2 linked regions of the Kluyveromyces lactis genome follow. The protein of the gene in region 1 purifies or fractionates together with the protein of each later gene. This does not show direct contact. Links are inferred from orthologs where the notes say so. Each region holds a gene or a part of one and is shown on either strand. Other genes may lie near its edges. The genes, in order: DBP3 and CBF5.

The links.
Region 2: the proteins of DBP3 (region 1) and CBF5 purify together in Saccharomyces cerevisiae (affinity purification with mass spectrometry; 3 studies listed by BioGRID). This does not show direct contact. The link is inferred for Kluyveromyces lactis from reciprocal best matches to the Saccharomyces cerevisiae genes DBP3 and CBF5.

What each region holds. Positions count from the first base shown.
Region 1 is NC_006039.1:1,344,640-1,348,251, reverse strand, and holds DBP3 (RNA-dependent ATPase DBP3), read left to right. Parts: upstream 1-1,536; coding exon 1,537-3,051; downstream 3,052-3,612. Other genes in the region: HNM1 (Hnm1p), read left to right, coding at 1-1,154; MNN10 (alpha-1,6-mannosyltransferase), read right to left, coding at 3,410-3,612. UniProt on the Saccharomyces cerevisiae protein: ATP-dependent RNA helicase required for 60S ribosomal subunit synthesis. Involved in efficient pre-rRNA processing, predominantly at site A3, which is necessary for the normal formation of 25S and 5.8S rRNAs.
Region 2 is NC_006040.1:407,818-411,255, reverse strand, and holds CBF5 (pseudouridine synthase CBF5), read right to left. Parts: upstream 1,952-3,438; coding exon 527-1,951; downstream 1-526. Other genes in the region: KLLA0_D04774g (uncharacterized protein), read right to left, coding at 2,410-3,438. UniProt on the Saccharomyces cerevisiae protein: Catalytic subunit of H/ACA small nucleolar ribonucleoprotein (H/ACA snoRNP) complex, which catalyzes pseudouridylation of rRNA. This involves the isomerization of uridine such that the ribose is subsequently attached to C5, instead of the normal N1.

The sequences.
Region 1 (3,612 bases):
TTTCAGTTGCTTCTGAATTGGTAGGCATGTACGCTTTGACCCATCCAGATTTTGAAGTCAAGAGATGGCATGTATTCGTATGTTTCCAAATCTTGCACTTGTTCTTGATGATGTTCAACTGTTCTGGTAAGGCTTTGCCAGTCATTTCTCAATCGTCATTGTACATCTCATTGATTTCATTTTTCACCATTACAGTGACCGTGCTAGCTTGTTCCCATGGTAAATATAACGATGCCAAGTTCGTTTTTGCTACTTTCTATAACGAAACTGGCTGGAAAAATGGAGTCATTGCCTTCATTGTCGGTTTAATCAACCCGGCATGGTCCTTCTCTTGTCTAGATTGTGCCACTCACATGGCTTTTGAAGTGGAAAACCCTGAAAGAGTGATTCCGATCTCTATTCTATGTACAGTGGGCATTGGATTCCTTACTTCTTTCAGTTACGTCATCGCTATGTTCTTCTCTTTACAAGATCTAGAGGCTGTTGCTTCATCCAATACCGGAATGCCAATCTTGGAAATTTTCCGTCAAGCTACCAAATCTACTCCAGGTGCTGTAGTGTTGGGTTGCCTCATCCTTTTCACCTCATTTGGATGTGTTATTGCATGCCATACATGGCAAGCAAGATTGTGTTGGTCATTTGCTAGAGACAACGGTATCCCATACTCTAAATACTGGGCTAAAATTGATCCTGAATTGGGTGTGCCATTGAACGCGCACTTGCTGTCATGTGCCTTGATTTCGCTATTGGGTTGCTTATACATGGCTTCCACCACCGCTTTCAATTCTTTAATTACTGGGTGTATTGCGTTCTTATTGTTCTCATACAGTGTTCCGGTCGTATGTCTGTTGGCGCGTAAACGTAATATTAAACATGGCCCATTTTGGCTAGGAAAATTCGGAGCGTTCTCCAATATCGTTTTATTGGGTTGGAATCTTTTCGCTTTAGTCTTTTTCTGTTTCCCAGCTGTCATGCCAGTGACAAAAGATAACATGAATTATGCATCAGTCGTCATTGTTGGGTTCCTATTATTCTACTTAGGATTCTGGCAATTTAAGGCAAAGAAAGTTTTCTATATCAGAGAAGATGAAAACACCGATAGCAATCAGGAGTCAGTAACAACTGAAGCTTTCCATGCTTATGATGCTAAATGATAAACACTGCTTCCTATCGCATTTCGTTTCTTGTCTTTTTTAACGTTTATTCACCTGTTTAATATACCTACTAAATATAATACTTGCATTGTCTTTTGAATTATTGTTACTAGATATATACGAACTGAGGTACTGCTGTATCGGAATTAATTGAGAATATATTATCAATTATACGGATCCTCCGTTGCTATATTAATTATATATTTGTCTCTTGTTGTAATTCAGCTGGCGTCAGTAAAAAGAAATGTTTTTTGATTATTGAAAATTTTATATAACAAAGCTGAGATGAGATGAGATGACTTAAGTGCTTTCGAATGATATGATTGCAGAATCTGCAGTAGTAGTGATACTTAACCATTAGAGCTCAAGCAAATAGTCCAGAATGTCAAAAGATGAATTAAAGGACAAGAAGAGAAAGGTGGAAGATGAGGAGTTGAAGAGTAAGAAAAAATTGAAGAAGGACAAGAAAGACAAGAAAGACAAGAAAGACAAGAAAGACAAGAAGGATAAGAAGGAGAAGAAAGAAAAGAAGGAGAAAAAGGATAAGAAATCAGAAACTGAAAGCTTTGCTGCTTCTGCCTCTCAATCTGATATTGATGAATTTTTGAAGGAAAATGAGGTTACAGTTAGCGACCCATCAGGTTCCAATATTGTACCATATTTAGACTTTTCCCAAGTGTCGTTTATTGATCAGATTCAAAAGGAAATTTCTAAGTTCCCAAAACCAACTCCAATTCAAGCTGTTTCCTGGCCATATCTATTAGCTGGTAAGGATGTTATCGGTATCGCTGAAACTGGTTCGGGTAAGACTTTTGCTTTCGGTGTTCCAGCTATCAACAACATTGTCACATCAGGAGACAAGTCAAGTTCCGTCAAGGTACTTGTTATCTCACCAACTAGAGAATTGGCCTCTCAAATTTACGATAATTTGATTGTTCTTACTGACGCGTGTGGTTTAAGATCTTGTTGCGTATACGGTGGTGTTCCAAAGGATCAGCAAAGAGAAGATCTGAGGAGATCCCAAGTCGTTGTTGCTACTCCAGGTAGACTGTTGGATCTAATAGAGGAAGGCTCTGTTGATTTGAGTCATGTTAACTACCTGGTCTTGGATGAAGCTGACAGAATGTTGGAAAAAGGTTTTGAGGAAGATATCAAAAAAATCATTAGACAAACAAGATCCACCTCTAGACAAACGTTGATGTTTACCGCGACATGGCCAAAAGAAGTTCGTGAACTTGCTTCAAGTTTCATGAGTGAACCGGTTAAAGTGTCTATTGGTAACAGAGATGAACTGTCAGCAAACAAAAGAATTACTCAGATCGTGGAAGTTGTGGATCCGTTCAGAAAGGAAAAAAAACTGTTGGAACTGTTGAAGAAGTACCATTCAGGCCCAACAAAGAACGACAAAGTTTTGATATTTGCCTTGTACAAAAAGGAAGCCTCTCGTGTTGAAAGAAACTTGAAATACAACGGTTACGATGTTGCTGCCATTCACGGTGATCTTTCTCAACAGCAAAGAACTCAAGCTTTGAATGAATTCAAAGCAGGAAAATGTAACTTACTTTTAGCTACTGATGTGGCAGCCAGAGGTTTAGACATCCCAAACGTGAAAACCGTTATCAATTTGACTTTCCCTCTAACAGTAGAAGATTACGTTCACAGAATTGGTAGAACCGGTCGTGCTGGTCAATACGGTACCGCACACACATTGTTCACTGAGCAAGAAAAGCATCTTGCAGGTGCCCTTGTTAATGTCTTAAATGGTGCTGGTCAACCTGTTCCTGAGGAGCTCAAGAAGTTCGGTACTCACACAAAGAAGAAGGAACATAGTGCGTACGGTGCATTCTTCAAGGATGTGGACCTATCAAAGAAACCAAAAAAGATTACATTTGATTAATTTAAATCCGTTATAAAGACAATTCTTGTATTTTTTAGCAATCACCCCCATTATGTACAGTAGTTCATTCAATACAGAGTAAATAAAAGTTTACAATTACTCTTGCATCGAAGTTTGTACAATGAATGTTCACGATAAAAATTGAAATTAAAGACGTATTAAATATGCGATATTCAAACAATGACTTTGAAAGGCAACGAAGAATGGTGTTGAAAGGGAAAGCATTAAAGTATAAAAGGGGATACTCTATCGAAGATCTTCTTGTACCTTCGCCTTTTATTTTACAGTATTAGTACAATGGAGCAGTGCATAATTTTTGAAATACAACTGAAGTGATAAACAAAAGGAAATTGAGAATCTAAAAGAACATCGAGTACCATCTACGGTGAAGAGTTTGCATCAGTTGAGTGTATTGGCGCATTTCACCCCAGCAGTCTCTACCAAAGTTACACCCAGCCATATTGACAACGAAGTCATGTTCCTTTTCGTTATAGAAATAGCGCAAGTCATACTTGAAATCTGCACAAGCACCTGGTGGGAAAGCATTGATCTGCCTTAGTG
Region 2 (3,438 bases), on another chromosome or scaffold:
CGAGAGAATACAAGGAGAATTATTCAATGATTGTTAATACTGGTAAAGTAAGAAACGGGACGTTTCATTGTGACACCTCGACTTCTGTTCACAATGTAACCATTTGCATAGATTTTAACCTTCATTTACCTTTTTATTGAGCAAATGACATCATGCAAATAAAAGACATACCAATCTGCAAGTTTCCCGACTTCTATTTGGTTCCGAACAATTGATGTCTGCCAAAAAAAAAAAAACTCCAAGTATTATTATCAAATCTTCTATCTACCTCATACATTTACCATTACTTTTTGCCATTACTTCAATTGAAGACGTAATGGTGTCTTCACACGCGCATAAATAATTTACAAATTTATATATACGAATACAATGATATACAACATCGACACAGGGTACAAAAAACAGTCGTGACGAAATACGTTTTTCAATGATTAAAAATATTCTACAGTGTACATAACCTAAATGATAAACTCTATGCAGTTTTGAAATTTCGATCGATGATATGAAGGACTTAGATTGTAGTCGTTTATTTCTTTGACTTCTTCTTCTTCTTCTCGGAAGACTCATCATCGTCAGCCTTTCTCTTCTTCTCCTTCTTCTCCTTCTTTTCCTTTTTCTCCTTCTTGTCCTTCTTCTCCTTCTTTTCCTTCTTGTCCTTCTTTTCTTCTGGTGTCTTTGATTCTTCCTTTGATTCTTCCTTCTGTTCGACTTCCTTCTTTTCTACTTCTTTGATCAGTGGTTTTTCTTCTGATTTGGATGCAGGGGCGGTAGTTGGTTCAGCATTCTCCAATGAAACGTAAGTCTTCTTCCAGGTCTCTGGAGTATTTTCGTTGGCACGGCCATATTTGTCTAGCTTACCGTCAGCCTTCATTTGTTTTTTCTTTTGGGCAATTGGACCAAGACCCCATCTTCTTGGATATAGGTCTCTTTCCATGATACATCTCTTAACCTTGGCAACAACTCCGTGGTCACAAGTAGCTAAATCGACAGTAGACATTTGAGCAATGGCAACTGCAATGGCCTCACCCTTGGTGGTGATTAATACAACTTCGTCATATAATTCAATACCTTCCTCATAACGAAGTAGACCTGGAATCATCAACTTGGCACCGTAACAAACAGCGTTAACAGCAGAATCTTTGACAACAATTCTTTTGTAACCGACTAATAGAGTTTCTAATGGTTGAATGATCTTTCTTAGGTAGGATTCATCCCTGGTGTTATCGTATACCCATTGTGCATCCATAACATCATGTAGGGTGACCAAGTTATCGTTTTCGGACAAAGCACCGGATCTAACACGACGCAACTCTTGCATATGGCCACCGACACCTAAAAGCATACCAAGATGGACACATAAAGTTCTCATATAAGTACCAGCTTCACAGGAAGCCCAGAAAACACCCAAGTTCCTCTTGTTGTCAAATTCGATCAAGTTGGAGTCATAAATGGTACGGACACGTAATTGACGCTTAACAGCAGAAATTAAAGGAGGTCTTTGGAACAAAGCACCAGTCAAATTTTCTAAACCTCTGCCCAATTCCTTCTCGTCCTTAAGGGCATCGTGCAATCTAACGATACAAACATACTCTTTACCAGCACCTTGTTGAGACTTGACCAATCTGGTAGCTCTGTCAACACAGACGATCAAACAACCAGTGACTTTAGGATCTAAAGTACCAGAATGACCTGTTTTTTCGCAACGCAAGATACGCTTGATCCAAGCAACAACTTCGTGAGAAGATGGGTTTGAAGGTTTGTCCAAATTGATGACACCAGAACTGATATATGACTTCAAATCTCTCTTCAAAGGAGAGGCACCAGCTGGAATTGGTGTGTAATGACCACTTCTGACTAATAGTTTGTCATAGTCCTTCAACAATAAAGGCCACTCACTAGTGTTACTAGATGGTGAAACACTCTCTGGCTTAATAACAAATTCGTCAGACATCGATCTCTATCTTACTTATTAGCTTTCTAACGAACAATCCAGTACACTATCTCCTTCAAATATCGAGAGAAAACAATAAAAGGATAGTAGCAACAATATCGTAAAGCAGAATCTACACTAAAGTGACAGTTTTTAGTCCAGTAAGATGAATCTACTTCTAATAGAACTCTATACTTTTCTTGTTAAAGCTCATCTCATCTCATCGTCTTCATCAAATTTTTTTCTTCAGGTAGAAAATTTTCAGATATCTCAAAAAGCAATTATTTCCGGGTAATGAATTATATTCACCTTGACGTTTAAGTATATATGACAGACATTGGAAATAGCATTGCCAAGTGAGAGTAGTTTTTATAGCCTTCTAGGAAGTGAGTTTGCATTTTTATTTAATGGACTAAACTAGCTGCTAATATGTTCATTATGTTAGGTTAAATTCTGTTAACTTAGTACGCTGTTTTCATTCAGATAGATTCCAAGTACTTGGCGTTATAGTTGTTCTTCAAAGCGCTAGCCCAGTTCCTAGTGGATAACTGTGCGATATTTGAAGTTGAATAATCTGTCTCAATTCCAGTTGAAAATATGGAATCTTCTTTGTCTGGCGATAGCTCTGATGTGTTTTGGTTTTGCTTCCACTCTCGGAGCTTTTGTATAATTTGTTTAGCGTTGTGTTTCGACCTTGAGGAACAGTTGCTATTCACATTGGCTACTTTAAGCTCACGGAGTGAATCATTAAAACCTTGTTTTTGTTCTGATATGTAGTGTAACTCTTCGTTTCTATTGTCTTTATTTTCTATGCCATCACTAACACTTGTAATGGTGATCGCAGGTTTGTATTCTGGTTTGGGCTTGTTGGAGACCATATTGTCTCTGATATTTTGGAACATATCTCTTTTCTTCATAAAATAATTCAAAGTCCGGTTTGTAGACCCGAATCTATCCACATTATTGCTGTATATGGCACTAAGCGCAGATTCTGCTTTAAGAGTAACTTTTAAGGCACTACTTAAAGTTTTCTCGTAATTAGTCCTGTAGCTTTGTAGTTCATTATGATACATGTCAGCATTTTTATCTATTTCACGTTTCATCGCTAACAACCTTTTTTGAAACTTCTCATTGAAAAATGCAAGGTCTTCCTTCTTCTTTTTGATAACCTCGTCATGTTTTGACTTTAAAACTATGTTTTCATTACTTAAAATTGCAACTTTTGTCTCAAGTCCCCTGTATCTGCTCTCATTATTTTTTATTTCTGTCACCTTGTTGTCTATTATCAGATCCAATAGACTGATACGGTGGTTTAACTTAACGATTTCCTCTTCTTTTGAATCCAATGCCTTCTCGTAGTCTGTTCTGTCCCAAACCTTTAAAATTCTGCCTCTTTCAGCCTTTGAGAGATCTTTTAATTTAGCAATTTCCCTTTCATGCTTCACTGACAAAAGCTCCAAATCCTTTGCCTTTGTCTCCACTTGCTTTTTCAAAGAACGATTTTCTAC